Linked DNA regions of Mytilus edulis. The protein of the gene in region 2 purifies or fractionates together with the protein of the main gene of each other region. This does not show direct contact. Links are inferred from orthologs where the notes say so. Each region holds a gene or a part of one and is shown on either strand. Other genes may lie near its edges.

Region 1 (17,074 bases), on a different chromosome or scaffold from region 2:
CGCGGAACACCCACACTGACCTAGTTGTTCTGTACAAAAGGCTTGGCGATGACTTTACATTAAAGATAAGCAATGTTTCATACTACGGAGTTTAAGACAGCAAATGAAGGCATAGCGCGGGACAGCCATATTAACCTAATGAAGATTTAAAATTTGGTGTATAAGATTGATGTAATTAAGGTTTAGCGCGGAACAACCACACTGACCTAGTTGTACTGTCGAAAAATCATTAATGATTATTCCTTAGATTGTCCAGAGAATAAGCCATATTTCATTTCGTGAAATTTAAGATAGATGAATTAAGGTATAGCGCGGTACAACCACACTGACCTTATGGGAACTAGATATTAAGAAAGGATACTCTCTTTAGATGGAGTCTATAACATAGGTTCCTGCTTAGTTCTTCTATTGAATTAAGAAAAAGGTCATCCAGAGGGAGAATATTGTTTAGAGCCAGTTGCTGACAATCCAAGATTAGTTGGGCAATACAAGTTCTCTCGTGAAAGTTAGAATTCCAGTTGCCTAGCCCAATTTTATTGATGGTAATTCTTTTGATAACACCAAGAGATTCTCTGCGTATACCTTCCAGAACGGGACAGCGAGTGAGAAAATGGATGATATCTTCTTCTTCCAGTTGACAGATTGGGCAAGTTGCATCAAGATTCATATTTGAGAAACGAGCTTTCTGCGATTGAAATATATATGTCCCTGTGCATAACCTTGCTTTTATTGTTGCTTTCCTGAGTTCGCCAATGTTTGGTGGTAGACTGTTCCAGATAGAATGAGGTTTTCCTATGTCTAAATTAGGGATGCAGAGAAATTTTAGTGTTGTTTTGCTATTGGCGTCCCTTTGAAGATTCACTTTCCAGTAGCTGTTTATCGCTTCTTTTGCCTTGCATTTCCATGATAACTTTGATGGTAATTGATCTTTCAGATCAGTCCATGGAGGAAGATTATACATGTATAAAATATCTGCTACTCTGTTAAGGAAGGTTAATTCATGTGTTTGCAGAACATATTGCCTCTCTAGAGCCTTTTTTAGATTCTCGTTGTTAGATGAAAAGATGGAGTGGAAGAGGCTAAGAACTCTTTTGTGAATTTCTGCCTCTATGGGGAGAGCACCTACGAGTAAGTATACTGCTGAAATTGCTGTACGTGAAGGAAGAGCTTGTATTTGTCTCAAAAAATTCACATGGAAATCTCTTAGCAACTTAATGTCCCCATTATTGAGTGGCAGAACTTCCAGGCTGTAAAGTAGTCTTGGTAGAACGTATACTCTATATATCATATAGGAAGTTTTAGGGTTTAGTCCATTAGTACCATGTACTCCAACGTTCATAAGAGAGTAAGCTGTTCTTCTGGCTAAGCTTATTCTGTCCTGGATGTTTGTTTTATTTTGGTCCTTAATTGCTCTGATGATACCCAAATGTGTACCTTGTTTAGCTGATGGCATGTTTTTATCATCGAGTTTGAATTGAACTTCACTCTTCGTTGTTTTTGAGTTACTATACTTATTAATTGTAACGCTTTTGGTTGGATGGATCTTGTATCTATGTTTGTCTGAGTATCTTTTAGATGTATCTAGCATAGATTGCATTTCTTCTTCAGTTGATGACAGTAGTATAATGTCATCTGCACAGGTTGGACATCCCGTAAAGTTTGTGCCGATGTACTGGCCCATACCATTCTCTTCAAGTTCTGTAAGTAGGTCGTTAATGTACAGTTTGTACAAATGGGTGGATAGAATTCCTCCTTGGCGGACTCCTTGCCGTACAGGGAAGCTGTTACTAAATCCGTTTTTCCATTTAACTTTAGAGGTAAGGTTGTTGTACATATCAAAAATGATTTCCCAAATATCTGGATCAATATTTTGGTCAAATAACTTGTCGAGAAGAATATCATGATGAACAACATCAAATGCCTTTTGTGAATCCAGAAGTCCGAAAATTAATTTAGATTTTTGTTTTTTTGATATAAGTTCCGATTCAGAGACTAGCAGTGCTGCCATTGCTGGTGAGAGGCCACTTGTGAAGCCAAATTGTAACTCTGATTGTTTATCTAATTTCAGAAGCACTCTCTGAAGGATAACATGTTCAAAAATTTTTCCTATAATTGATGATACGGTGATGCCTCTGTAGTTATCAAGAATTTTGTCATCTTTATTTTTCTTACATACTGCATTAAGAATACCGGTTTTAAATTGGATTGGTACCTTTTTCTCAGCCAATATTTGGTTAAATAGAGAAACGAGATACGGAACAACAACCTCTTCAGCAGATTTGAAGTGTTCAGCAGATAGCCCATATTCATCGCATGCCTTTCCATTGTTCAGATTTGATATTGCCTCAGAAATTTCGGTGGGGTTGAATTTGTCTGAACTAGAATCAGATAAGCTACAGATTTCTTTTATAATTTCACAGCGGAATTGGCAGTTATTTAGAAATTTTTCATCAAAATCAGGATCGTCCTTAGGTGTTGCTAAATTTTGAAAATATTTTGCCATTGCCTCTCTTTGTTCTTCAGGATCAGTGAGTTCATGATCATCATATAGTATGGTTGTAGCAAGTTCTTTAGTGCTGTTTGTATTTCTGCGTATTAATCTGAAGAAATTTTTAGAGTTGGGTTCACTTTCCAGTTTTTTATAAAATTCTTTACATTCAGTTGCTCTTTCTTGCCGTAGTCTTTTTCTTACGTTTCTTTTTGCTTCCTTCAGTTCCAAAAAACAAGTGTCCTCACCTCTCTTTCTCCCATGAAGGTCCCATATCCTGTGTTTCTGTTTGCTAATCGTAAGCAACTTTTTTGCATGTTGTGAAACTTTTAGTCTTGGGCCGCGGATTTTCAAAGTTTTTGTCGGAATTGTTTTCCTTGCAGCTTGTTTAATTGCATCTATTAGATTATTTGTTTGGTCTTCTGTTGTTACTTTTCGATTTTTATTTTGATCTAACGATTTTTTTACTGCTTCACTGTAAATAGATGGTACACACTTTTCCCATTCTGTTTTATGCAGTACTTCGTTGCTGAAATTTGATGATTTTTTTTTGTTTTTGTTTGTCGGCTTGAAGTGTTAAAAGAGCCTTGACTGGTACATGGGCTGATAAATTTATTGCATCTTGCGAGAAAGTTTGAATAGAGTGGATAAGGTTGCTATTTGATGACAGGATGTAGTCTATTTTAGATGTAGATTTTCCATTATGATGAAAGAAAGAGTGAAGGTGATCATCATCATCTAGTTGATGTAGATTATAGTCTTTGACAAACTCTTTTAATATTCTATCATGTTGATTATGCCTTGAATTGAGTAAGGTTCCGTTTAGGTCCCCACAGATTATGAAATCCATATAGCAATACTTTTGTATAAGAAATTTGATAATATCTAAATGTTCCCTATATTTTATTACTGAGTTAGTATTTAAAGTTGGTAGGTATGAGTTGATAATACAAACTTGTCGATCCTTGGTTTGAACAGAGATAGCAATGACTCTTTCGTTGCCTTCTGGCAATTTTCTTATTAAATCGTTCCACACTCAAAAACAAAACAAAACAAAACAAGAAACAGATTCTTCTTATTATTTTATTTATTCAAATAGAGAGGCAATAAGGGAACTATAAACATTACAATTTGATGGAAATTTGAAGAAAAAACACAATTTCTACATCATTTGGTTACATTTACGACAAAATTTATGTCGATAAAAAAACATGTTTTGACCATTCAGTACTTAATAGATGCATAGTTCTTTGGGAGAAGTTTCATCAAATAATATGAATATAAATGACTTTTTTTGTGCTCATTTTTTACAGTGGGTTGTGATGATCTTCCAGTTAGGTTACCCTCATTTGGAGTGTTGTTCCCAACCTGTTAAAGGTCCATCTTTGTGCATAATTCAAAATTGGAGATTTCAACAAGCATCTAATATTCTTGATCTGGAAAATAACCCTGGTCTGCTAGCTTTATGTATATTTTTTCTACCGATTTAATATATAACTAGAATCATGCAAACAGACTTAAGGAAAAGGCATGTAAGTTCATCATACAAATATGACACTTTTTCTAGACAATCCAGATCTTGCAAAATACGTCGCTAAAAATTGTAACCTTTAAAATTGTTGTTGTGCATTAAAAACCCATATGGGAACTTTCAAAAGTTGGCGGGTATGTAACAAGTCTTACTATTTTTATGCTCCATTTATGGGCAATATGTTTTCTAGTCTGTCCGTCCGTCCTGCTTCTGGTTATAAAGTTTATGGTCGAGGTAGTTTTTGATGAAGTTGAAATCCAATCAACTTGAAACTTAGTACACATGTGTTCCTCTTGATATGATCTTCTTAATTTTACTGCCAAATTAAAGATTTTACCTAATTTTCATAGTCAACTGAACATAGAAAATGATTGTACGGATGGGAAATCCATGTACTTATGACCTTTTCTTGTTCGAAGAAAAAAAAACCATTTTAACAATAATGGAACAAAGCAGCCTGGGTAAGTGGGGCTGCTTTTATGGTAATTCAAGTTACCTTTTATTCACCTTCTTCCACTTCAGAGCTATCAGCTCTTTGATTCATTCATATTCCCACTTTATTTCTTCATGTTTAATGAAATAGTAGAAAATTACATTACACTAAAAGTTGGGAGCAATTTGGTCAAATTGAAGTCAAAAATGGAATTTCTGAATTAGCCCCTTTGTGTTCTATCACTGAGTCAAGTTTCTTGAATATAACTAAGTCAAGCAATAAATTGTGCTTACCACAGAATCACCATATATTGAAATAAAAAGTACTTTGAATAATCTCCCCTTAAACATGTATTCTTTTATGGGCAGGCAGCATTCTACAACTATGTAAAGATTCATCAAAATCTATAGGGTAGTTTAGGAGGTACTATTTATAGGAATAATATTTAGGTTGAATGTATTTTACAGTTATGTAAAAGCATGAAATTCTCATTAGTGGAAAATTTTCTCTAAATTTTTGCTATCAAGGCAAAATCATTAAAAGATTCCCTTTGTGTAAATTTGATGCTTATGGACAATAACAGGAAAAGCAATAAAAAGAAGCCCTCAAAAACAGGTTCTACATTATGAATGTAAACATTGCAAAAATAGACCACATCGGCACATGCCAGTATATTGAAATATATAGTATATTTGTTGAATTATCTCCCCATTCACATGTCCATCCAGATTTGTATACCTTAACAAAATTTTGGTATCTTGTGGAGAGTTGTCTCATTGGTAATCATACCACATCTTCTTTTTTATATTAGGAAGTGCTCTACTTCTGTGTAAAGTTTCATTAATATCAGAATAGTTTTTGAGCAAGAGTTGTACTTACAACTGAAGATTACTATATATTTAAAAATCTTGAATTATCTCCCCTTTAAAATGTACATGCCATATGACAAGGATGATATTCCTTCCTACAAGTTTTCAGGTGGCATTCTACATCAATGCAATATTTTATCAAAATCTATTCTGCGGTTTAAGAGGAATTGTGTTGACGAGAGAACATTGCCATATTTTGCAATATTACAGTAAGTTGGTTTGATTATCTCCCCTCAATATTTAGAATAAGATTTAACTCTTTAACCCCCAATCCCGCCTGTAGGCGTGATGGCGACAACCATTCTTTGATGGCCCGTATGACCCTCCATACCTTTTTTAAACTGCCCAACCTGAACTGTCATTAGAGCAGGGACTTCAACCAAGCAGTTCATGGTCCATAAACTCTTCTCGGACGTCTGATTGTGAAAATATGGCACTTTGAAAGCCCTTTAAGAGTTCAAAATCGGAAAAACGTGAAAAGTAGCCAAAATCAGGTGGGGGTGGGCATCTTTTGATGGCCACTACGTAACTGGTAGTCATTGTAGGTATAAACTATTATCGTAAATTCATGCATAGGTGGTATAGGAACACAAAGAGGTATCATATGGCCAATAGGAAACTAGTCTGTAAAATCTAGGTCACCGTTTTGTCAAAAATCCGTAAAAACAGACATTTAGGCAGACCTGACTTAAGAATAATAATTCGCCAGCAAGACACTTAAGTCCCATAAACTCCCAGTTAGCATGATTTGACTTCTGTATCTATGGGGTAAGATTTGAATGACAAAGAAACACAGTCTGGTCAATGTTCACCTCTCAAGGTCGTTTTAAAATCGGAAAATAGACGGGAAATGACAATTTTTCAGTGGGGGTGGGTTCAAACCGATTCATTTTTCTTCATTGAAAACCAATTGCCATGGATTTCGTGAGTACAAATTTATCCACAGTAACTTTGTTTTAAGAGGTACAAAATTAAATACATACTTGGCTTATACCTTTATTAACAGTCACATGCTTAAAACAAGCATTCTACAACAAAGGAAATGTTCTTTACCAAATTCTGTAACAAAGTACATATGAAGATTGTGTTCATAATTTTCCCAATTATTTCTGATGAAACTTTACATTTCACATGATGAATTGTCAAAATAATTTTGTTGCTTTATATTCAATTATCAAGTCATAGAAAATGTATGACACAAAGTTATTATCACAAGATTGTTCAAAATGGCTTCTGTCACACCTCGTCTTCATTCAGCAACATGTTGGGTATTCCTCTATTAACAGGGAATTTCCTTCCTGTCTCAGGACAAATCAGATCACCTTCTACAATTTCTACCTGCCAACAAAAATGTGGATGTAATTATTTAAAATATAAGATTTGGTATTATCTCCATAAAACTATATGTGTTCATGGCTGAAACTGTATTCCTAATGGTTTTGTTCACTTGATCTTAATGTCCTCTAAAAAATCTTTAAATTTTCTTATTCTTGTACATTTGGGAAATTTTCAGTAGAACCATAACTAATTATGCCATCATATTACCTGCTTCATCAAGTCTTTTTTAAGTATATTGTCATGGTGATGTCCCGTGCTCCTTTAGATTACAGACATTGCCAGCTTGATAATGAGAATGTTGGAAGCCACAATAGGATAAAAGTTGTAATATCAATATAAACAAAATATTATCTTAAATCAACAAGGAGTATAAACAGATTATCAGTTCTACTTTCCGAAAAGGGAGATAACAACTTAAAATTATAATTCTGGAGTAAAATTCATTATTCCAGAAATTGGCTTTACTTTTAAATGGTTGCTAACTATGATTATACATCTTAACTAGTTTGTAAATTTATCTTCTTGTTATCATATATACCTCCATAAGAATTCTGTGTGCCTTTTTTAAAAAATCTTCATCAGATTCATAACTTTCAGCAACTTCTGTTGGTAAACCTTCATTATGACCAACCTTAAATGTAAAAATAAACAAAACATAAACCTTAATGTACCTAGCCAACCTTAGTGTACCTAGCTAATGCTAGCTTATCCTTGTATTATATTTTGATTATTGTGGATAAAATCCCTGCAGACATTGATCAACTTTATTGCAAGAAGCCTATTTAAAAACTCAATACAGGAAATCTAAGCACTGAGGGGTTGATTTTCTTTCAATTTTTATTTATAAACATGATAAAGAACCTCATTTTTTTACATAAATAAGGCCGTTAGTTTTCTCGTTTGAATTGTTTTACATTGTCTTATCGGGGCCTTTTATAGCTGACTATGTGGTATGGGCTTTGCTCATTGGTGAAGGCCGTACGGTGACCTAGTATAGTTGTTAATGTCTGTGTCATTTTGGTCTTTGTGGATAGTTGTCTCGTTGGCAATCATACCACATCTTCTTTTTTATAAACTACCTATTGTACAATGTATATTTATTTTTAGCATTTATTCTCAAAATTAAAATGCTGGAGTTTAATTATCTAGTTAAACTATGCATGAACAAGTTATTAATTGATTATTCAGAGAGTAAAAAATCTTAAAATTAAAAAAGATTTCTTTCAGATATTCTTAGAATTATGAGTTGTGTCCCTTTGTATTTTCTAACTATATTGCGTATATCCTTACTGACTGAGCTGCCTGACACAAAGCTGGCCAATCCACTTTAGGGATCATTCTGGCTGTGAACTCTGGATTAAAGTCAACCTCTTTCACCTCCACTTTAGTTGCCTATAAAAAAATAATCAACAAAAATATGTGTTACCCTTATTTCAATTAAGTTGTATTTGTACAAGTATATTCAAGGTGTCTAAACTTATATATAGCTGTGGTGTGTGCTGAGTAAATCAATGGTAAATAAAACACTGTGTGAATAGAAAAATATATGCTTTACTTTTCTTTTGCCTTGGCAGGAGGATGACTCTCAAAATGAAACAAAGTTGAAATGAAGAGCTGCTTGCCAATCTGGTAAGTAATAAAAAAAGGTTTCACACATTTACACACTATGTATGAGAGGAGGAATACCGGTACTCTTTACCATCGGAGTCAAATTTATGGCTTTCATAAGAATCAAATTGGTTAAAATGTTAATGAGATCAAGGACATATACATTTTGTATATAGTATAGTTACATGTATATGTCCTATTTTTCAGAGGTTTCAAATAATTATCCATAACCTTTACTTTTTGGAGAGAAAAAAAATCAGGATTCGTCAAAATCGGTCGATTATTATATCATCATAAAGAAAATACACATTTTATTGTCATGCACCAAAAATTACTATGGCCTTTAAGAGCCGTTTTTGGCTACCATTAACGTCAAATTGGTTAAAATTTTACCGTGATTCCTCAAAATATCCTTGCCGAGATTTGTCAGACATGTCAGAGGTCTCAAAAAATTATCATTACCGTCATTTTTAGAAAAAAATTAACGTGATTCGTCAAAATCAGTTGATGTTTTATTGTCAGAGTACATTTTATCGTCATACAACAAAAATTACCGTTAACATCATTAGGCAACGATTTTTACTGTTATTCATCATAAAGGTACCCCCATTTAATACAACCCTCCTTTACATCGTTTGGTAATAATTTTATTTTTATTCATGATGAAAGTACCCCCTGTATAGCTGCCTAATTATAGTCATTATACAATTTAGGACAACAGGATAAAAGGGGTTAGCAAGTTATAAACGGGGAGGTTTAGAAGGCTCGTTTGTCAATTTCTACATTGTAAAATACAGCTATGCAACAACATTAAGTTTCACCTGAATTGTTAGTGGGTATCCCTTCTTTACACCTTTTATTATACTAGAAGTAAGCATGTTGTGAGTAAGGAGCTTCATCTTTCTCTTTCGCTTTATTTACGTCGATTACTAAACAATGCAAAATTTCGTACAAAACGAAAATAAAATTTGTTTCATTAAATCTGTTTTTAATTTCATTTATTTTTTTCAGTGCTAATTACAATGCATTGAAATTATATTTCTATTTTTCAGATCCAAAATTATTTTTATTCACATCAATTTTGTTTCTTTTTTCACTTCGTTTTATCTAGTAGATAATTAAATAATCTTTTTTTTTATTAACCAAGATGTCTGCGCCCATGAAACATGTGAGTTTATTTTTCTAAATTTTCAAATCTAAATTAAACTGCACGACATTAAACACATTTGAAATTGTAGGTAGAAGTGTTCAATTTATGTTAGAATTTTCATATTGTTGCTCAATTGATACATGCACATTATTGGCATTAGCGTACAAAATATGCATGAACTTTATTTTTTGAATACTGTATATACATGTATGTATGTATGTATGTACTGGTAAATGCCTCCGATATCCGAAGAACCCCTCGAAAGCTGCGAGCGTACAGTGGCATCCATGTACACTCCCTACTCGAATGGAGATGTGTCACTAACGTATGTTTATACGACAATTATTTTTACAAGGACAATTAATCCCCACCCAACACAAAGGGAGTGCTAGGACATCGGGAATTCTGTTATTATGGTTGAGGAAGCCGAGAACTCGAAGTATCAGAAGATTGATCTCCAGGTCAAAGTAGGGGCAACTTTGACAAACGGAGGCCCCCAAAGTACTCATTCTAGTTTAAACTTCGGTCTGGGTACCATAGATATGGCACAAAATGTGCACCTGAATATAGGTATCTTGTTTTGTTACCCCCATTGAAGCAATGGTTACATTGGTTACATTGGTTACACACATGGACCTTTAGTAAATGATATGCAATGGTGGCTTAATCTGTTGCAAACTGTACATTAATGGCTGTCCCTGGGGAATCCAGTAAAAATTTGTAACCAGCCTGTGAAAGTCTGGTTACAATGGTTACATGCATGGGAAATCAGGTTACACTGGTTACATACATGCAGAATTTGGTTACAGTGAAACATGCATAGAGAAATCAGTTACAATGGTTACACACATGGGAAAGTTGGGTTACAATGGTTACATGCATGGAGAATCAGGTTACAATGGTTACATGCATGGAGAATCAGGTTACAATGGTTACATGCATGGGAAAGACGGGTTACAATGGTAACATACATGGGAAAGTCGGGTTACAATGGTTACATGCATGGAGAATCTGGTTACAATGGTTACACACATGGGAAAGTAGGGTTACAATGGTTACATACATGGGAAAATCAGGTTACAATGGTTACATACATGGGGGAATCAGGTTACAATGGTTACATGCATGGGGAATCAGGTTACAATAGTTACATACATGGGAAAATCAGGTTACAATGGTTACATGCATGGAGAATTAGGTTACAATGGTTACATACATGCGGAATCTGGTTACAATGGTTACATGCATGAGGAATCAGGTTACAATGGTTACACGCATGGGGAATCTGGTTACAATGGTTACACGCATGGAGAATTAGGTTACAATGGTTACATGCATGGAGAATTAGGTTACAATGGTTACACGCATGGAGAATTAGGTTACAATGGTTACACACATGGGGAATCTGTTTACAATGGTTACATGCATGGGGAATCAGGTTACAATGGTTACACGCATGGGGAATCTGGTTACAATGGTTACACGCATGGAGAATTAGGTTACAATGGTTACACGCATGGAGAATTAGGTTACAATGGTTACACGCATGGAGAATTAGGTTACAATGGTTACATACATGGGGAATCTGGTTACAATGGTTACATGCATGGGGAATCAGGTTACAATGGTTACACGCATGGGGAATCTGGTTACAATGGTTACACGCATGGAGAATTAGGTTACAATGGTTACACGCATGGAGAAATAGGTTACAATGGTTACATGCATGGGGGAATCAGGTTACACTGGTTACACGCATGGAGAATTGGGTTACAATGGTTACATACATGGGGAATCAGGTTACAATGGTTACATACATGGGGAATCAGGTTACAATGGTTACATGCATGGGGAATCTGGTTACAATGGTTACATACATGGGGATTCAGGTTACAATGGTTACATACATGGGGGAATCAGGTTACACTGGTTACACGCATGGAGAATTGGGTTACAATGGTTACATACATGGGGAATCAGGTTACAATGGTTACATACATGGGGAATCTGGTTACAATGGTTACATGCATGGGGAATCTGGTTACAATGGTTACACGCATGGAGAATCAGGTTACAATGGTTACATACATGGAGAATCAGGTTACAATGGTTACATACATGGGGAATCAGGTTACAATGGTTACATACATGGGGAATCAGGTTACAATGGTTACATGCATGGGGAATCTGGTTACAATGGTTACACGCATGGAGAATCAGGTTACAATGGTTACATACATGGAGAATCAGGTTACAATGGTTACATACATGGGGAATCAGGTTACAATGGTTACACGCATGGGGAATCTGGTTACAATGGTTACACGCATGGAGAATTAGGTTACAATGGTTACACGCATGGAGAATTAGGTTACAATGGTTACACGCATGGAGAATTAGGTTACAATGGTTACACACATGGGGAATCTGGTTACAATGGTTACATGCATGGGGAATCAGGTTACAATGGTTACACGCATGGGGAATCTGGTTACAATGGTTACACGCATGGAGAATTGGGTTACAATGGTTACATACATGGGGAATCAGGTTACAATGGTTACATACATGGGGAATCAGGTTACAATGGTTACATGCATGGGGAATCTGGTTACAATGGTTACACGCATGGAGAATCAGGTTACAATGGTTACATACATGGAGAATCAGGTTACAATGGTTACATACATGGGGAATCAGGTTACAATGGTTACATACATGGGGAATCAGGTTACAATGGTTACATGCATGGGAAAATCAGGTTTCAATGATTACATACATGGGGAATCAGGTTACAATGGTTACATGCATGGGGAATCTGGTTACAATGGTTACACGCATGGAGAATTAGGTTACAATGGTTACACGCATGGAGAATTAGGTTACAATGGTTACATGCATGGGGGAATCAGGTTACAATGGTTACATACATGGGGAATCAGGTTACAATGGTTACAAGCATGGGGAATCTGGTTACAATGGTTACACGCATGGAGAATTAGGTTACAATGGTTACACGCATGGAGAATTAGGTTACAATGGTTACACGCATGGGGAATCTGGTTACAATGGTTACATACATGGGGAATCTGGTTACAATGGTTACATGCATGGAAAATCAGGTTACAATGGTTACACGCATGGAGAATTAGGTTACAATGGTTACATACATGGGGGAATCAGGTTACAATGGTTACATACATGGGAAAATCAGGTTACAATGGTTACATGCATGGAGAATCAGGTTACAATGGTTACACGCATGGAGAATTGGGTTACAATGGTTACATACATGGGGAATCTGGTTACAATGGTTACATGCATGGGGAATCAGGTTACAATGGTTACACGCATGGGGAATCTGGTTACAATGGTTACACGCATGGAGAATTAGGTTACAATGGTTACACGCATGGAGAATTAGGTTACAATGGTTACTCGCATGGAGAATTAGGTTACAATGGTTACATACATGGGGAATCTGGTTACAATGGTTACACGCATGGAGAATTAGGTTACAATGGTTACACGCATGGAGAATTAGGTTACAATGGTTACATGCATGGGGGAATCAGGTTACAATGGTTACATACATGGGGAATCAGGTTACAATGGTTACAAGCATGGGGAATCTGGTTACAATGGTTACACGCATGGAGAATTAGGTTACAATGGTTACACGCATGGAGAATTAGGTTACAATGGTTACATACATGGGGAATCTGGTTACAATGGTTACATACATGGGGAATCTGGTTACAATGGTTACATGCATGGAGAATCAGGTTACAATGGTTACACGCATGGAGAATTAGGTTACAATGGTTACATACATGGAGAATCAGGTTACAATGGTTACATACATGGAGAATCAGGTTACAATGGTTACATACATGGGAAAGTCAGGTTACAATGGTTACATACATAAAAAAATCAGGTTACAATGGTTACATGCATGGAGAATCAGGTTAAAATGGTTACATACATGGGAAAGTCGGGTTACAATGGTTACATGCATGGAGAATCAGGTTACAATGGTTACATACATGGGAAAGTCGGGTTACAATGGTTACATGCATGAAGAATCAGGTTACAATGGTTACATACATGGGAAAGTTGAGTTACAATGGTTACATGCATGCAGAATCAGGTTACAATGGTTACATACATGGGGAATCAGGTTACAATGGTTACATACATGGGAAAGTCGGGTTACAATGGTTACACGCATGGAGAATTAGGTTACAATGGTTACACGCATGGAGAATTAGGTTACAATGGTTACACGCATGGAGAATTAGGTTACAATGGTTACATACATGGGGAATCTGGTTACAATGGTTACATGCATGGGGAATCAGGTTACAATGGTTACACGCATGGGGAATCTGGTTACAATGGTTACACGCATGGAGAATTAGGTTACAATGGTTACACGCATGGAGAATTAGGTTACAATGGTTACATGCATGGGGGAATCAGGTTACACTGGTTACACGCATGGAGAATTGGGTTATAATGGTTACATACATGGGGAATCAGGTTACAATGGTTACATACATGGGGAATCAGGTTACAATGGTTACATGCATGGGGAATCTGGTTACAATGGTTACATACATGGGGATTCAGGTTACAATGGTTACATACATGGGGGAATCAGGTTACACTGGTTACACGCATGGAGAATTGGGTTACAATGGTTACATACATGGGGAATCAGGTTACAATGGTTACATACATGGGGAATCAGGTTACAATGGTTACATGCATGGGGAATCTGGTTACAATGGTTACACGCATGGAGAATCAGGTTACAATGGTTACATACATGGAGAATCAGGTTACAATGGTTACATACATGGGGAATCAGGTTACAATGGTTACATACATGGGGAATCAGGTTACAATGGTTACATGCATGGGAAAATCAGGTTACAATGGTTACATACATGGGGAATCAGGTTACAATGGTTACATGCATGGGGAATCTGGTTACAATGGTTACACGCATGGAGAATTAGGTTACAATGGTTACACGCATGGAGAATTAGGTTACAATGGTTACATGCATGGGGGAATCAGGTTACAATGGTTACATACATGGGGAATCAGGTTACAATGGTTACAAGCATGGGGAATCTGGTTACAATGGTTACACGCATGGAGAATTAGGTTACAATGGTTACACGCATGGAGAATTAGGTTACAATGGTTACACGCATGGAGAATTAGGTTACAATGGTTACATACATGGGGAATCTGGTTACAATGGTTACATACATGGGGAATCTGGTTACAATGGTTACATGCATGGAGAATCAGGTTACAATGGTTACACGCATGGAGAATTAGGTTACAATGGTTACATACATGGGGGAATCAGGTTACAATGGTTACATACATGGGAAAATCAGGTTACAATGGTTACATGCATGGAGAATCAGGTTACAATGGTTACACGCATGGAGAATTGGGTTACAATGGTTACATACATGGGGAATCTGGTTACAATGGTTACATGCATGGAGAATCAGGTTACAATGGTTACACGCATGGAGAATTAGGTTACAATGGTTACATACATGGGGGAATCAGGTTACAATGGTTACATACATGGGAAAATCAGGTTACAATGGTTACATGCATGGAGAATTAGGTTACAATGGTTACATACATGGGGAATCAGGTTACAATGGTTACATACATGGGGAATCAGGTTACAATGGTTACATGCATGGGGGAATCAGGTTACAATGGTTACATACATGGAGAATCAGGTTACAATGGTTACATACATGGGAAATCAGGTTACAATGGTTACACGCATGGGGAATCAGGTTACAATGGTTACATGCATGGGAAATCAGGTTACAATGGTGACATGCATGGAGAATCAGGTTACAATGGTTACATACATGGAGAATCAGGTTACAATGGTTACATACATGGAGAATCAGGTTACAATGGTTACATTCATGGGAAAGTCAGGTTACAATGGTTACATACATAAAAAAATCAGGTTACAATGGTTACATGCATGGAGAATCAGGTTAAAATGGTTACATACATGGGAAAGTCGGGTTACAATGGTTACATGCATGGAGAATCAGGTTACAATGGTTACATACATGGGAAAGTCGGGTTACAATGGTTACATGCATGGAGAATCAGGTTACAATGGTTACATACATGGGAAAGTTGGGTTACAATGGTTACATGCATGCAGAATCAGGTTACAATGGTTACATGCATGGAGAATCAGGTTACAATGGTTACATACATGGGAAAGTCGGGTTACAATGGTTACATGCATGGAGAATCAGGTTACAATGGTTACATGCATGGAGAATCAGGTTACAATGGTTACATACATGGGGAAGTCAGGTTACAATGGTTACATACATAAAAAGATCAGGTTACAATGGTTACATGCATGGAGAATCAGGTTACAATGGTTACATACATGGGAAAGTCGGGTTACAATGGTTACATACATGGAGAATCAGGTTACAATGGTTACATACATGGGAAAGTCAGATTACAATGGTTACATACATGAAAAAATCAGGTTACAATGGTTACATGCATGGAGAATCAGGTTACAATGGTTACATACATGGGAAAGTCGGGTTACAATGGTTACATGCATGGGAAAGTCAGGTTACAATGGTTACATGCATCATACTCTAAATGTGCTTTTCAAGGTCATAACTTAAAAGTCTGTTATTGTCCCGACATACTTTATACTTTATGATAAATCTGTTTGAAAATGTCTTATGCACGTACAATCTGAACTGACTTGGTGTCTTCTGTGAGAAAAATAAAAAAAAATTCTGCGACAGACCTCAGAGACTAAGTATAACACAGTAGTCTCAGGACCAACTTAGTCAAGTTGTTAAACTCCCTTAGTAGAAGGACTTTGTTAATGTTCATGTCAAGACCAATTACGGAATCACATTTAGCCTGGGAACATTCTTTTGAATAATTCAGTGTTTTATCTGAATTCATAAATGTTAATTGATTATGATGGTGTTTTTTCTGTGTTGACAATGATCATCCAAAAAAAATTAACAATATGCTGGTTGTTAATCTTGAACAGTAAAAAAACCTGAAACAACATCTTCTACTCATTATTTTAGTGATAGTCTAACTTTTTTATATAATGCTATTCAATTTTTAAACTTGCCTTAAAATTAATGAATTAATAAACATCTTCCCCAATGTAACATTATATTAATTTGTTTATTACTTATAATTTAAACTCTGTTTATAACTTACAGTCCAAACTCTGTTTATTACATATTATTTAAACTCTGGGTATAACTTACAATCTTAACCTTGTTTATTACTTATAATTCAAACTCAGATTAATACCTAATTTATAAATGTTTACATCTTACATATTGTCTATTCTAGAGACATATAATATATGCATTATATGTTTCTGTCATTTCATATTTCATATGCATGGCATATATATCTATAATACTATTCATTCATTCATTCATATCTTTATTTCCTCTTTACAGAGATTACATGAATTATATAATCATGAACAATACATTAAAACATTAATAACAGAACATATAAATGATAAAGTTGTGAGAAATACGCAATATTTACATATAAATGAAAGTGATCAGTTCAAAAGCAA
Region 2 (17,787 bases):
CCTCATGAAATAATCCCAAAATTCTGATCATAAAATTCAATAAAAAAATTGTCCTTTCTAATAATTTATTTCAGGTCAAATCTACATCTTTCTTTTCTCATCACATCAGCTCTATAAAACAGTTCTTATTGTTCATTTATGTCCATTTTTAAAATCACAGCATCCACAATTGTATGGCGGACTAATATTTTTTTTTAATTACGTCATCTGAGTTCCTCATCTCAAGGTCTATTAGGGATCCTGACCCAATTGAAAAGACTTGCTATTGCACAATACTTAATATAATAATTTTAGATCCTGATTTGGACCAACTTGAAAACTGGGCCCATAATAAAAAATCTAAGTTCATTTTTGGATTCAGCATATCAAAGAACCCCAAGATTAAAATTAGACTAAGTTTAATTTTGGACCCTTTCGACTTTAGTGTAGACCAATTTGAAAACAGGACCAAAAATGAAGAATCTACATACACAGTTAGGTTTGGTATATCAAAGAACCCCATTTATTCAATTTTTGATGAAATCAAACAAAGTTTAATTTTGGACCCCGATTTGGACCAACTTGAAAACTGGGCCAATAATCAAGAATCTAAGTACATTTTTAGATTCAGCATATCAAAGAACCTAACTGATTAATTTTTTGTCAAAATCAAACTAAGTTTAATTTTGGACCCTTTGGACCTTAATGTAGACCAATTTGAAAACGGGACCAAAAGTTAAGAATCTACATACACAGTCATGACAGTTAGATTCGGCATATCAAAGAACCCCAATTATTCAATTTTGATGAAATCAAACAAAGTTTAATTTTGGACCCTTTGGGCCCCTTATTCTGTTGGGACCAAAACTCCCAAAATCAATACCAACCTTCCTTTTATGGTCATAAACCTTGTGTTTAAATTTCATAGATTTCTATTTACTTATACTAACGTTATGGTGCGAAAACCAAGAAAAATGCTTATTTGGGTCCCTTTTTGGCCCCTAATTCCTAAACTGTTGGGACCTAAACTCCCAAAATCAATACCAACCTTTCATTTGTAGTCATTAACATTGTGTTTAAATTTCATTGATTTCTATTTACTTAAACTAAAGTTATTGTGTGAAAACCAAGAATAATGCTTATTTGGGCCCTTTTTTGGCCCCTTATTCCTAAACTGTTGAAACCAAAACTCCCAAAATCAATCCCAACCGTTCTTTTGTGGTCATAAACCTTGTGTCAAAATTTCATAGATTTCTGTTAACTTAAACTAAAGTTATAGTGCAAAAACCAAGAAAATGCTTATTTGGGCCCTTTTTGGCCCCTAATTCCTAAAATGTTGGGACCAAAACTCCCAAAATAAATACCAACCTTCCTTTTGTGGTCATAAACCTTGTGTTAAAATTTCATAGATTTCCATTCACTTTTACTAAAGTTAGAGTGCGAAAACTAAAAGTATTCGGACGACGACGACGACGCCAACGTGATAGCAATATACGACGAAAATTTTTTCAAATTTTGCGGTCGTATAAAAACTACCTTGACCAAAAACCTTAACCTTAAGCGGAACAGATTGACGGACGAACTCACAGACCAGAAAACATGATGTCCCTCTACTATCGTATGTGGGGCATAAAAATGTCTTTTTAATTGCTGTCAGAATAAAGGCTGTTGCAAATGCAAATACTAACCAAAGTTTGACAAACAAGTTTGGTTATATATTTATTGACATACATAAGTTTAGCATTTAATTCTGAAAATGAATGAAATTATCTTTTTTTCTTTATTTTATCCAGTAAGTAAATAGTCATCGTGTTGGCAGTTGGACCTTACAGGTTTGTTGTTGTTGTGTGTTTACAAACTCATAATCTACCTGGTAGATCAGCAAAGGAGAGGTTGTGAGCATAAACACTGGTTTAACCAAAGCACATTATGTGCATGTACCATGTCAGGCTATCTTGACCATGTGTTTTTCTTAGTTGTTTGTCTATCAATTTGCTCTACATATTTAGAGTCAGTCTTTTGATAAGATATTATACTCTATTCAATGGATTTAGAGAAAATATAAGCAATTTGTACTGCATGTATCTGTATTTGTTTTATTTCAGTTTGACTATATAATCAATAAATTACCAAGCATGGAGGGACTAATATCCACACCTATCCAACAGTGTCCATTATCTGTCAAACATTCACCACTTAGTCCAGATCCACACCTATAAAACACAAACATTCATTGATTTAGTGAAATATCATATATCTAACATTATAAATTAACTTTTTTCTCTAAGACTTGTGTTCAGCACTTTGAAAAAATCTGCAGAGATTTCCACAATCGATAGAAGATGTGTACATTATCGATATTATTGACAGTGCTCATGTTTTCTTATATTAACTTTAAACAGTGACTTTAATTCTTTGTTTTTGATTTTCTGATATATATATTTCATGTACACCAAATCTCTATAATAGAGGAAATAAAGTTATATATATACAAATTATTATTGTAATTATACAACTTTGTTCTCATTTTTGCATAATACTAAATAACATATTGTCATTTCTACTATTTAATAACTCCAAGTTCCAGATTATCATTCTCCATGCATTAACAATTATACTATAATATAATAAAATATGAAAAATATATAGCTATAAATAATGGTAGTTATATCTTTAAAAAAGTATCAAAATATATACTTATCAAAAGAAACCATTTCAAATGAATTATTTGTCTGAAAGTGCAAGTTTTAAAGAAATAAATAAAACAATTACCCAACATCTAATATAAAACATGGCTGATCTTCAGGTAATCCCAGTAGTTCAATAGCTCTTTCTGACAACTGATTCTGTATTTCAATCATTCGAGTACTATCAAATATAAAATACATAATGATGTTACACTTAAAACTTTTTATTCTATCGACTGACCTTTTTCCACCAAGTCCACAAATAACAATGAATCAACAACATATTGTTTATATGCGTTTAAGCAGGTTTGACTGTTAAACATGTTAAATATTCAGAAGTGGTTTAATAAAAGTTTGACTATTACCATATTTTATTAAAAGATGAGGTTCAACTTTCTTTTTTTTTTTTTTTTAAAGATTTGAAAGTTACAGTATTCAGAAGTGGTTTAAGTAAGGTTTGACTAACGATTCGCCGAAAGCCCTGAATTATCGCCTATACAAGACATCACACAATTTCAAACACTACCTTAACGTACTTGATGATAAAGATGTAATAACAATGTCGCAGTTTAGGACAAGGAACCATAAACTGCCGATTGAAAATGGTAGTTGGCAAAACATTCCCCGAGAACAGAGAAAGTGTCCGTTGTGCAGAGTTGCTATAGGTGACGAATTCCACTATGTAATGGAATGCAGCAGTCTCTTGACAGATAGAACACTACTTATTGACAAGAAATACCTAACGAACTTTAATGTTTTAAAATTTAATGCTATTATGAACCAAAAACAGAAATCTAAACTTCGAAAATTGTGCCAATTTATTAGAATTATAAATTACAAACTGGATTCTCTCTGATGTTAACCTGTCGGCTATACTGATCATACCGTTGTAGAAAGCTCATATTTAATGCTTCCTCAACAAATGTATATATGCAATGTAATGTAAACTAATGTGTTTTTCTGTATACCTTTGTCCAACTTAGGTGATACCAGAATAAAATGATATATATACTAATACATTGTAACTCTTTCTCTATCGGAACAGAAATAGTTTGTGTAAGGTTTGACTGATATACATTGTAACTCTTTCTCTATCGGTACAGAAATAATTTGTGTAAGATTTGACTGATATCCATTTTGTACATCTTTACTCTATGTTTTTCGGGGCAAATTAGTACATGTACATGAGGTACAATGTTACCCTGTACTGAGAAATCTGATAAGAAAAAATAATTAAGTATGTTTTTATCTTAATTTGCACACTATATCTTACTTTGATGTGTATTTTCTGGCTTCATCTTCATTGTAAAACTGAAATACAACAAAAATGTAATAAAATATATGCAAAACTCATGAGATAACAAGAATGTGTCCCAAGTTCACGGATGCCGCATCAGCACTATCATTTTCTATGTTCAGTGGACCATGAAAATGGGATAAAATCTCTAATTTGGCATTAAAATTAGAAAAATTATATCATTGGGAACATGTTTATTTAGTTTCAATTTGATTGTACTTTAACTTCATCAAAAACTACCTCGACCAAAAACTTTAACCAAAACTTTAACCTGAAGCGGGACAGACGAATGGACGAACAAATCAACGGACGAACAAACCAGAAAACATAATGCCCATAATTTGGGCATAAAAAAAAGTCAACAAATTAATATAAGATATGTAGGGGCTATTTCAAATGTTAATTTGTCAACAACATTTAAGATGATGGCAATGTTTGGTTTTGCACATTATATAATTTTGAAACTCAATTCTTAATTCACATTATATTTGTGACATTTACTGATTTAAGTTTAAATATCAGAGTTTTAAATCAGAAATTGATCTGCACAGAAGATTTGATTTTGTTAAATTGTTATAATAATCAATGTAATCAATATGTAATCACTTGCATGAAATTTAACTTAATTAATTCAAATTATTGGGCATCATAATTCAGACAATAAAAGACTATGTATATGTATTTGTATTGTATTTGATGGTCCCTTGGATGTCAGTTTTAACAAAAAAAATTTGGTTAATAGATTTTTACCATTTCTTTTACAGATTTTCTAGCTGTAAACTTAGTCTAAATACTTTCTTTTAGATAAGTTAAAAATCTAAATGATCAAAGAAAAGATTTGGCAATGTATATTTGTGAAAACTGAGATGTTCGAGTAAACTGAATCCACATTATGTTTCTTTCTATATTAACAAAAATCATGTAAACATGGTCATGATGGTGTAACCGGAGGGGTTTTTACGTTGTGTATTTTCTGTGTCAACTTTAACATATTTTACCCCAGACCGTGTAAAGAGTAGGTATAGGAATCCTGAGTCTCTGATCCTTCATATTTGGCTTTGCAAAACTTAACGCTAGCAAGTTTTCATAGTTTATTAGCAAACTACATAATTCAACAAATATCAACAATTTGTAAAGATAAAAACATGAAACATGAATATAAAAAGCAAGTTAAAATTCACATAAAAGTGACATAGCTTAATCTGTCATTTTAACCTTTGTCTAGATGCATTATAATTCTAGACACAATAGCGACATTGTGTCTAGATGCTGTGAAATGCATTACACCTTTCGTGTAGACAACACCTTTCGTGTACACAGTGAGCAAGGTCTGTGCAAGACCAGTTAGTCAGCAAAGTCTGTGCTAGACCTTACGTGTAGACAGTGACTGAGGTCTGTGCAAGACCAGTTAGGCAGTGAGGTGTGCAACACCAGTAAGCTCTTACTAAAAAGCTAAAATAAGCGGTTGTTTTATCAACCAAATGGCTTATGAAAACAAGCCCAGTACAATTATTTAAATCATCAGTTATTTAACAAATACTATTCAAATATAAACACTCTATAACTAAATTATAAGTTGCAAATTCAACAAAATATGAGAATAAATTCAATGAATTATAGCACCATAATGTAACTAAATATATAAACATGTTAAACAACAATTTTTATCAATAATTCATATTAACAATAGTAATTAAATGTTAATTTTACAACAGTCCATTTTAAAGGGACATAATACTGTTCTAAAACATAGGGTCGCCGTTACATTCCTCCCTCCTTAAAAAAAACTGAAGCCATGAAGTTTAAAAACAAGGCTGGTATGAATTTCCATTATATACAAACAGTATATGCATCCATATATATATTGCACACGGAACACATTCCAATTCCTTTATCAATTGAACACTAGAAATGCTGGCCATATCATCTCCAATATCAGTTATAACACTCGTATATATTATCTCATATCATCACCATCACTGAAAACAAGTGCTGAAAAATTTAATAACAAAATTAAACAAATAGTTAAACTGAATCGTCACCCAGTAAACTGTTGTGTCAAATGCTATGGAAATAATGTAACTGTCTAAAATGTACTAGATATTCTGTATGTGTTTAAGAGATATTTACTATAGAATAAAACAATCATGCAACAACCAGCACTTTATTATAAAAGGCCAAAAGCGATTACGTGAATCAGAGGCTCACATTAGCGATTAAAACACGTCAATCGGGCAGAAACAATTATGTTGGCATCCAAGCTTATATCCACATAAACATGATAATTTTGAAGCAAGTTAGCATAAAATAAAATGATGTAGGCGACAGCCCTTTTCATGGGTCTAAAGGATACAACAATGAGGTACTTTACAATGCTGTTCCTGTCGATTCATACACATGCATCTTGAGCTATGTGTAATTACTGAATGTGTTAAGTAAGACAAATATGATCAAAATATACCATTCTATCTAAACAATCTAAGTTAAGCTTTCTTTAAACCATTTGAATTTTTTTCATCTATGCAATTAATTGCTTATACATTCTATAAATATCAATACATACTTTATCTCTGTGCCAATCTAAAATCAGTCTTTGTAAAGTTAAACTGAAATGATTACTCATCATTATTTCATACATATACATGGCAATATCTTTTAAAATCAAAATTAACATCAAGCAAGCATAATGACATTTATTTTACAATATTAAAATTTGACAATTTACATAACATATTTAACTGTATCAATAGCATAACCGCCTAATGAGAAGATCAGATGTTTCACCTCAGGATCCCACCGCTGCCACCAAAATGTAACCGGAGGGGTTTTTACGTTGTGTATTTTCTGTGTCAACTTTAACATATTTTACCCCAGACCGTGTAAAGAGTAGGTATAGGAATCCTGAGTCTCTGATCCTTCATATTTGGCTTTGCAAAACTTAACGCTAGCAAGTTTTCATAGTTTATTAGCAAACTACATAATTCAACAAATATCAACAATTTGTAAAGATAAAAACATGAAACATGAATATAAAAAGCAAGTTAAAATTCACATAAAAGTGACATAGCTTAATCTGTCATTTTAACCTTTGTCTAGATGCATTATAATTCTAGACACAATAGCGACATTGTGTCTAGATGCTGTGAAATGCATTACACCTTTCGTGTAGACAACACCTTTCGTGTACACAGTGAGCAAGGTCTGTGCAAGACCAGTTAGTCAGCAAAGTCTGTGCTAGACCTTACGTGTAGACAGTGACTGAGGTCTGTGCAAGACCAGTTAGGCAGTGAGGTGTGCAACACCAGTAAGCTCTTACTAAAAAGCTAAAATAAGCGGTTGTTTTATCAACCAAATGGCTTATGAAAACAAGCCCAGTACAATTATTTAAATCATCAGTTATTTAACAAATACTATTCAAATATAAACACTCTATAACTAAATTATAAGTTGCAAATTCAACAAAATATGAGAATAAATTCAATGAATTATAGCACCATAATGTAACTAAATATATAAACATGTTAAACAACAATTTTTATCAATAATTCATATTAACAATAGTAATTAAATGTTAATTTTACAACAGTCCATTTTAAAGGGACATAATACTGTTCTAAAACATAGGGTCGCCGTTACATTGGTAAGACAATCTCTCTCCCTAATCTTACATGTTGGACTTATAATTTGTCAATGAGATATATATTGTTCTCAAAACAGGGATATTTTTTTATTTATTTTTCATAAATGGGTACCAATTTTTGTGGTTTAAAGGTTGATATTTTTTTTTTATTTAAAGAGTCAAGAGATCTAAAACTGCAATGAGATGTCATTTCAAATATAAAATATTATTTGGATTTCTTATAATTGCTGACACAAGAATACAAGATCCATAAACACGATTTCACTGTTTTTGAAAAGCAACTTTTGAGATGTTACTGACTATTTCTGGAGGAGCTTGTCTTTCTGGTCTTCCACCATGTGCCATTGTTGCTGTTTGACACTTCAATTAAAACTCAGAGTCTAGGTACCGGCCTCAAAAATTTATTTCTTCAAATCCCATTAAAATGAAATATATTCTGCAATGAATAGAGTAGCATTAGAACAATTATTTAACTCTTGGATATTGAGAATGCTCTGGCAATTTCATTAATCAATTACAATACATTAGGTTTGAAATAGTTGAGATCAGACTTTTAGAGGAATTATTTTATATTAACCGAAGATAATATTTGATCTCTATCTTTTGAACTCTTGACGCGTACGGGATTACGCAACGGTGTTTGTTGACAGGTTGTACAGCACCAATTTTTGCAAAATATGCATTGAATATGAACTAGAAATACTTGAATACAATTCTATATATGAAACAATTACCAGATAAACCTCCATTTATTGATGGATTGAGTTAAATGGGACAAATTGAATGAAATTAAAACCAAAACTTAGCTCTGAAGGTCATGAATGCTAAATATTCTGTAGGCAGGGGAATTTCCTCAGGTTTGCAAGGGACTAGCATTTTATACAGTCCTTTCTGTATTGGCCAGACACGATGGTCATCAAATCATAGAAAACAAAAATCACCTTCATATTATTATGATATCCTTGGAATAACCCCAAAAGCTAACCAGCAGCAAATTAAGCAAGCTTACTATACCATGTCGAAGAAATATCATCCAGATGTCAGCCCATCTCCCGAGGCCCACCTCAAGTTTCAAGAAATTTCTCAGGCATATGAGGTATTAGGAAATTCGTCAACTAGAAGAATGTATGATCGAGGTGTCAATAGACCCGAATATGCTAGAAGAAAAGAAGAACACCACTCTGACCACAAAGGCGGTCAATTTTATCAACAACAAGGCTTTGCTAAAAGGGGACAAAGGCCAATGACTGGGAGAACATCGATTTATGACTTTGATGAATATTATAGAATGCATTATTCTGATAACTTTAAAAGGAAGCAACGAGACATTGAATTTGAAAATCTTAAGCAAAAAATTCATGAAGAAAACGAGAAGATGCACAATGATTTTAAACCTATATTTTCTTTCTCTGTGGTTTTATGTATATTTTGCTCAATAATTTATTCCTTAAATACATAAAATATTAGGTAATAAGATGAATTCAATAACTTTATTATGTTTATATACAGTTGTAGTACATTGTATGTGTAAACATTGATGTGTACATGAACATGTATAATTAAGTAAATAAGATAAACATTGAAAATGGTCAAGTTTCCCCTAGTTTTATTGTCCACGCCTGCAACTTTTAAAATTATTTATATGATCAGGATTTATACAAAAATTGAATTTTCATGATATTATATTTATACAAGAAATATATATGCAGAAAAAGTCTTCATCTTAATAAAAACTCAAAATAATATACATTGTTTAAATTTGAAACTTATCAACTTGAGGGAGAAAAAATCTAATTCTGTCAGAATGTCAGCGCTGAGATGTTATTAGCCTGATTTTTCTTTAACTCATAGAATGTTTCATACATTTGTTGTCTCCCTTTAATTTTAAAACAAAAATATGTCTATTAGTGTTCAGCTGAAACATTTGACCTGAATCAAATGTAGCATTTATTGACTTCTTTAAGTCTACATGTACAATGTATATATGTTATTGATATAAACTGATAAACTAATTTTAAAAGGGTGCAGGCATACCTTTACACAACTATCATGACTATGTTTATACATGTACTGTTACAATCTATCAGACATATATCAGATTTACTTTTATGATATGAATTCTGGCAAAAATATCTAAAAAAAAAGCTATGAAGAGTTATAACTGTCAGATATACAATGGTAAATATTCATTCATTTAAAAAAGATGTGGTATGATTGCCAATGAGACAACAGTCACAACACTGACAAAATGATTTCACTGAGTGAAAGTTTTCGAATTATAATGTAGGAGTTACAGGAACAACCTTAGCTTGTGTGAAATGTTTTTTTTAAACATGATAATTGTATATTGTTATACAAGTAGAATTGGTAATTTATTTGGTTGTAAAATGTATTTTTTAATAAATTTTCTTATAATAATGTATTTCATGCTCCTAAACAGGCTAAAAAAAATCAGAAAATGTAATAAATATTTGTAGGTTCGATTTTTTATATATCTGCAGACAATAGCTATATTTGTTCTCTCCAGAATGAAAATTTAAGTGAATTATCAAAATGTTTATGATATTAAGGTATAGTTTAAGTACATGTATGAACCATTTTGTATAGGTATATATAATGGCCAAGTTTCTTTTCAACAAAACAAGAATTTGTATCACTATACAAATCATTGAACAAAATAATCAACTACATGTGTATGTAAAAAACATTCTTTTTAGTTCCTGTTTCTTAATTATCTTTAATTGAATATTTTTGAAATTTGATTTAATATTTTTACATTTTTGAAAAAAAAACAAAAACCCTTTTATAGAATTTAAGGGTTTCAGATTTGAGCGTATATGGTTACCACTTTTTGGAGCATGATGTTGGTTTTATTAAGTTCTATTTTATACATATTGTACAGGTACATGTATAACATTGGTACCTTTAGTGAAAAAATGAAATGGTACACTGTATAACTATTTTTATTTGTTTATTTTATTATAATATGTAAAACAATTTTATGTCAGTAACGTTTTGCTTGCTGAAAATTGTGGTGTCAGATCAGGAAATGTTTGTTAATTGTTATATTGTACAGATCATACTATTTATAAAAGTAAATCGGCATTGATTGTTATACAAAAAAGAATGATATTCAATTAAAAAACAATGAATTCAGACTTATTAATTTAAGTTAATTTTTAGCTCACCTGGCCCAAAGGGCCAAGTGAGCTTTTCTCATCACTTGGCGTCCGTCGTCGTCGTCGTCCGTCGTTAGCTTTTACAAAAATCTTCTCCTCTGAAACTACTGGGCCAAATTTAACCAAACTTGGCCACAATCATCATTGGGGTATCTAGTTTAAAAAATGTGTCCGGTGACCCAGTCAACCAACCAAGATGGCCACCAGGGCTAAAAATAGAACATAGGGGTAAAATGTGGTTTTTGGCTTTTAACTCAAAAACCAAAGCATTTACAGCAAATCTGACATTGGGTTAAATCCTACATCAGGTCAAGATCTATCTGCCCTGAAATTTTCAGATGAATCGGACAACCCGTTGTTGGGTTGCTGCCCCTGAATTGGTAATTTTATGGAAATTTTACTGTTTTTCCCATCACTTTGCGTCCGTCGTCCGTCGTTGTCCGTCGTCGTTAACTTCTACAAAAATCTTCTCCTCTGAAACTACTGGGCCAAATTAAACCAAACTTGGCCACAATCATCATTGGGGTATCTAGTTTAAAAAATGTGTCCGGTGACCCGGCCAACCAACCAAGATGGCCGCCATGGCTAAAAATAGAACATAGGGGTAAAATGCAGTTTTTGGCTTATAACTCCAAAACCAAAGCATTTAGAGCAAATCTGACATGGGGTAAAATTGTTAATCAGGTAAAGATCTATCTGCCCTGAAATTTTCAGATGAATCGGACAACCCGTTGTTGGGTTGCTGCCCCTAAATTGGTAATTTTAAGGAAATTTTACTGTTTTTATACGACCGCAAAAATTAAAATTTTTTGGTCGTATATTGCTATCACGTTGGCGTCGTCGTCCTGCGTCGTCGTCGTCGTCGTCCGAATACTTTTAGTTTTCGCACTCTAACTTTAGTAAAAGTGAATAGAAATCAATGAAATTTTAACACAAGGTTTATGACCACAAAAGGAAGGTTGGGATTGATTTTGGGAGTTTTGGTCCCAACATTTTAGGAATTAGGGGCCAAAAAGGGCCCAAATAAGCATTTTCTTGGTTTTTGCACTATAACTTTAGTTTAAGTGAATAGAAATCTATGAAATTTTGACACAAGGTTTATGACCACAAAAGGAAGGTTGGGATTGATTTTGGGTGTTTTGGTTCCAACAGTTTAGGAATTAAGGGCCAAAAAAAGGGCCCAAATAAGCATTATTCTTGGTTTTCGCACAATAACTTTAGTATAAGTAAATAGAAATCAATGAAATCTTAACACAAGGTTTATGACCACAAAAGGAAGGTTGGGATTGATTTTTGGAGTTGAGGTCACAACAGTTTATGAATTAGGGGCCAAAAAGGGGCCCAAATAAGCATTATTTTTGGTTTTTGCACCATAACTTTAGTATAAGTAAATAGAAATCTATGAAATTTAAACACAAGGTTTATGACCATAAAAGGAAGGTTGGGTTTGATTTTGGGAGTTTTGGTCCTAACAGTTTAGGAATAAGGGGTCCAAAGGGTCCAAAATTGAACTTTGTGTGATTTCATCAAAAATTGAATAATTGGGGTTCTTTGATATGCCGAATCTAACTATGTATGTAGATTTTTAATTTTTGGTCCCGTTTTCAAATTGGTCTACATTAAGGTCCAAAGGGTCCAAAATTAAACTTAGTTTGATTTTAACAAAAATTGAATCCTTGGGGTTCTTTGATATGCTGAATTTAAAAATGTACTTAGATTTTTAATTATTGGCCTAGTTTTCAAGTTGGTCCAAATGGGGGTCCAAAATTAAACTTTGTTTGATTTCATCAAAAATTGAATAAATGGGTTCTTTGATATGCCAAATCTAACTGTGTATGTAGATTCTTAATTTTTGGTCCAGTTTTCAAATTGGTCTACATTAAGGTCCAAAGGGTTCAAAATTAAACTAAGTTTGATTTTAACAAAAATTAAATTCTTGGGCTTATTTGATATGCTTTATCTAAATATGTACTTTGATTTTTGTCGAGCCTTCGACTTTAGTCGAAAAAGCGAGACTAAGCGATCCTACATTCCGTCGGCGTCGGCGTCGGCGGCGGCGGCGGCGGCGGCGTCCACAAATATTCACTCTGTGGTTAAAGTTTTTGAAATTTTAATAACTTTCTTAAACTATACTGAATTTCTACCAAACTTGGACAGAAGCTTGTTTATGATCATAAGAAAGTATCTAGAAGTAAATTTTGTAAAAATAAAATTCCATTTTTTCCGTATTTTACTTATAAATGGACTTTGTTTTTCTGCGAGGAAACATTACATTCACTCTGTGGTTAAAGTTTTAAAAATTTTAATAACTTTCATAAACTATCCTTGATTTGTACCAAACTTGGACAGAAGCTTGTTTATGATCATAAGATAGTATCAAGAAAAAATATTTCGTAAAAATAAATTTCCACTTTTCCGTATTTTACTTATAAATGGACTTAGTTTTTTTTGCCAGAAACAAAACATTCACTCTGTGGTTTAAGTTTTTAAAATTTTTATAATGTTCTTAAACTATCCTGGATTTCTACCAAACTTAGACAGAAGCTTGTTTCTGATCATAAGATATTATTCAGAAGTAAATTTTGTAAAAAAATAATTCACTTTTTCCGTATTTTACTTATCAATGGACTTAGTTTTTCTTCCAGTTAACATTACATACAGTCTGCAGTTAAAGTTTATACAACATTTATTAGATTCATAAACTATCCTGGATTTTTTACCAAACTTAGAAGCTTCTTTCAATCAAAAGACAGTATCGAGAGGGAAATTTTTATTGATGTTTTTCCTCATTTTGTTGAGTCTGCAATTAACAGCAAAAGTAGGCGAGACACTGGGTTCCGCGGAACCCTTACGAATTTTTAATTATAGGCCCAGTTTTCAAGTTGGTCCAAATCAGGATTCCATATCAAGTATTGTGCAATAGCAAGAAATTTTCAATTGCACAGTATTGCACAATAGCAAGAAATATCTAATTGCACAATATTGTGCAATAGCAATTAATTTTCAATTGGAGTTATCTTTCTTTGTATAGAATAGTAGTTGATAATATATGTTGGAAATTTGCCAGAGATGACTATGATGTCATTTTCTATTTTTATTTGCCAATAACTTTATGTAAATAACTTCATTGGAAATTTGCCAATATAAAATGTTGGTGATGAAGTTTTTTTTATTGTTTTATACAATAAACAATGTATATTCACTTTTACTACCAACCAATCTTTACCATTCAGTGATAACAAGCACTTTATTTTACATTTTAATATTTTATGGTGTATTTAAAAGAGTAGTTATTGTTGCAAACTCCATTAGAAATTTGAATTGATATCAGTTTTGGAAAAAGGGAATCGGGGATGTGAAAAAAAAGGGGGGGGGGGGTTTAAATTTTTCTCATTTCAGATTTCATAAATAAAAAGAAAATTTCTTCAAATATTTTTTTGAGAGGATTAATATTCAACAGCATAGTGAATTGCTCAAAGGCAAAAAAAAACTTTTAAGTTCATTAGACCACATTCATTCTGTGTCAGAAACCTATGCTGTGTCAACTATTTAATTTTAGATTTAAAAAGTTTGAAGAAGAAATCTTTAATTGATTTGTAAAATCTTGACATTTGTTTTGTGTAAAAAAAACCCATGTAATGTCAAAAATTTGATCACAATCCAAATTCAGAGCTGTATCACGCTTGAATGTTTTGTCCATACTTGCCCCAACTGTTCAGGGTTCGACCTCTGCAGTCGTATAAAGCTGCGCCCTGCGGAGCACCTGGTTGGTTATTATCTTGAATATTATTATAGATAGGGATAAACTGTAAACAGCAATAATGTTCAGCAAAGTAAGATTTACAAATAAGTCAACATGACCGAAATGGTCAGTTGACCCCGTTAGGAGTTATTGCCCTTTATAGTAAATTTTTAACCATTTTTCGTAAATCTTAGTAATCTTTTACAAAAATCTTCTCTGAAACTACAGGGCCAAATTAATCCAAACTTAGCCACAATCATCATTGGGGTATCTAGTTTAAAAAATGTGTGGCTTGACCCTGCCAACCAACCAAGATGGCCGCCATGGCTAAAAATAGAACAGAGGGGGTAAAATGTAGATTTGGCTTATAACTCTAAAACCAAAGCATTTAGAGCAAATCTGACAAAGGGTTAAATAATCTATTAGGTCAAGACTATCTGCTCTGAAATTTTCATACAAATCGGACAGCCTGTTGTTGGGTTGCTGCCCCTGAATTAGTAATTTTAAGGAAATTTTGCAGTTTTTGCTTATTATCTTGAATATTATTATAGATACAGATAAACTGTAAACAGTGATAATGTTCAGCAAAGTAAGATTTACAAATAAGTCAAACATGACCAAAATGGTCAGTTGACCCCTTAAGGAGTTATTGCCCTTTATAGTCAATTTACAAAATATTTTCCTCTGTTACTAATGGGCCAAGTACATTGTAGATAGAGATAATTGTAAGTAGCAAGAACGTTCAGTTAAGTAAGAACTTCAAACACATCACCATCTGACACCAAAACACAATTTTGTCATGAATCCATCTGTGTCCTTTGTTTAATATGGACAGACACCAAAGTGAGCGACACAGGCTCTTTAGAGCCTCTAGTTTTGTTTGGCCATTTTTGGGTACCCATTTTGTATTGGCACATCCTCTTAGATTGTTTTGCCTTTTTCTTCACCATATAACGCTATTGTGCACTTCCTATGTTTTTTTTTATCCATACTATTTTTAGCTCACCTGGCCAAAAAGGCCAAGTGAGCTTTTCTCATCACTTGGCGTCCAGCGTCTGTCATCGTTAACTTTTGGGCCACTACTGGGCCAAATTTAACCAAACTTGGCCACAATCATCATTGGGGTATCTAGTTTAAAAAATGTGTCCGGTCAATTTTTAACCATTTTTCGTAAATCTTAGTAATCCTTTACAAAAATCTTCTCCTCTGAAACTACTGGGCCAAATTAATCCAAACTTGGCCACAATCATCTTTGGGGTATCTTGTTTAAAAAACAAGTGTCCAGTGACCCGGCAATCCAACCAAGATGGCCGCCACGGCTAAAAATAGAACATAGGGGTAAAATGCAGTTTTTGGCTTATAACTCAAAAAACAAAGCATTAAGAGCAAATCTCACATGTAGTAAAATTGTTTATCAGGTCAAGATCTATCTGCCCTGAAATTTTCAGATGAATCAGACAACCCGTTGTTGGGTTGCTGCACCTGAATTGGTAATTTTAAGGAAATTTTACTGTTTTTGGTTATTATCTTGAATATTATTATAGATAGGGATAAACTGTAAACAGCAATAATGTTCAGCAAAGTAAGATTTACAAATAAGTCAACATGACCGAAATGGTCAGTTGACCCCGTTAGGAGTTATTGCCCTTTATAGTAAATTTTTAACCATTTTTCGTAAATCTTAGTAATCTTTTACAAAAATCTTCTCCTCTGAAACTACAGGGCCAAATTAATCCAAACTTAGCCACAATCATCATTGGGGTATCTAGTTTAAAAAATGTGTGGCTTGACCCTGCCAACCAACCAAGATGGCCGCCATGGCTAAAAATAGAACAGAGGGGGTAAAATGTAGATTTGGCTTATAACTCTAAAACCAAAGCATTTAGAGCAAATCTGACAAAGGGTTAAATAATCTATTAGGTCAAGACTATCTGCTCTGAAATTTTCATACAAATCGGACAGCCTGTTGTTGGGTTGCTGCCCCTGAATTAGTAATTTTAAGGAAATTTTGCAGTTTTTGCTTATTATCTTGAATATTATTATAGATACAGATAAACTGTAAACAGTGATAATGTTCAGCAAAGTAAGATTTACAAATAAGTCAAACATGACCAAAATGGTCAGTTGACCCCTTAAGGAGTTATTGCCCTTTATAGTCAATTTACAAAATATTTTCCTCTGTTACTAATGGGCCAAGTACATTGTAGATAGAGATAATTGTAAGTAGCAAGAACGTTCAGTTAAGTAAGAACTTCAAACACATCACCATCTGACACCAAAACACAATTTTGTCATGAATCCATCTGTGTCCTTTGTTTAATATGGACAGACACCAAAGTGAGCGACACAGGCTCTTTAGAGCCTCTAGTTTTGTTTGGCCATTTTTGGGTACCCATTTTGTATTGGCACATCCTCTTAGATTGTTTTGCCTTTTTCTTCACCATATAACGCTATTGTGCACTTCCTATGTTTTTTTTTATCCATACTATTTTTAGCTCACCTGGCCAAAAAGGCCAAGTGAGCTTTTCTCATCACTTGGCGTCCAGCGTCTGTCATCGTTAACTTTTGGGCCACTACTGGGCCAAATTTAACCAAACTTGGCCACAATCATCATTGGGGTATCTAGTTTAAAAAATGTGTCCGGTCAATTTTTAACCATTTTTCGTAAATCTTAGTAATCCTTTACAAAAATCTTCTCCTCTGAAACTACTGGGCCAAATTAATCCAAACTTGGCCACAATCATCTTTGGGGTATCTTGTTTAAAAAACAAGTGTCCAGTGACCCGGCAATCCAACCAAGATGGCCGCCACGGCTAAAAATAGAACATAGGGGTAAAATGCAGTTTTTGGCTTATAACTCAAAAAACAAAGCATTAAGAGCAAATCTCACATGTAGTAAAATTGTTTATCAGGTCAAGATCTATCTGCCCTGAAATTTTCAGATGAATCAGACAACCCGTTGTTGGGTTGCTGCACCTGAATTGGTAATTTTAAGGAAATTTTACTGTTTTTGGTTATTATCTTGAATATTATTATAGATAGAGATAAACTGTAAACAGCAATAATGTTCAGCAAAGTAAGATTTACAAATAAGTCAACATGACCGAATTGGTCAATTGACCCCCTAAGGAGTTATTGTCCTTTATAGTCAATTTTTAACAATTTTCATGAAATTTGTAAATGTTTACTAACATTTTCCACTGAAACTACTGGGCCAAGTTCATTATAGATAGAGATAATTGTAAGCAGCAAGAATGTTCAGT

What was found.
Region 1: the proteins of 18S rRNA (guanine-N(7))-methyltransferase-like (region 2) and multifunctional methyltransferase subunit TRM112-like protein purify together in Homo sapiens (affinity purification with mass spectrometry; 5 studies listed by BioGRID and IntAct, counting the BioPlex papers as one, with this or other methods). This does not show direct contact. The link is inferred for Mytilus edulis from reciprocal best matches to the Homo sapiens genes BUD23 and TRMT112.

Annotation. Positions count from the first base shown.
Region 1 is NC_092345.1:1,176,252-1,193,325, forward strand, and holds multifunctional methyltransferase subunit TRM112-like protein, read right to left. Parts: upstream 9,224-17,074; 5' UTR 9,167-9,223; coding exon 9,089-9,166; intron 8,052-9,088; coding exon 7,950-8,051; intron 7,291-7,949; coding exon 7,198-7,290; intron 6,660-7,197; coding exon 6,558-6,659; 3' UTR 6,305-6,557; downstream 1-6,304. UniProt on the Homo sapiens protein: Acts as an activator of both rRNA/tRNA and protein methyltransferases. Together with methyltransferase BUD23, methylates the N(7) position of a guanine in 18S rRNA.
Region 2 is NC_092349.1:64,045,550-64,063,336, reverse strand, and holds the start of 18S rRNA (guanine-N(7))-methyltransferase-like, read right to left. Parts: upstream 8,022-17,787; 5' UTR 7,949-8,021; coding exon 7,904-7,948; intron 7,606-7,903; exon of another isoform or gene 6,527-7,605; intron 5,956-6,526; exon of another isoform or gene 5,043-5,955; intron 3,978-5,042; coding exon 3,940-3,977; intron 2,848-3,939; coding exon 2,752-2,847; intron 2,193-2,751; coding exon 2,110-2,192; intron 254-2,109; exon of another isoform or gene 1-253. Other genes in the region: dnaJ homolog subfamily B member 9-like, read left to right, coding at 8,421-9,062.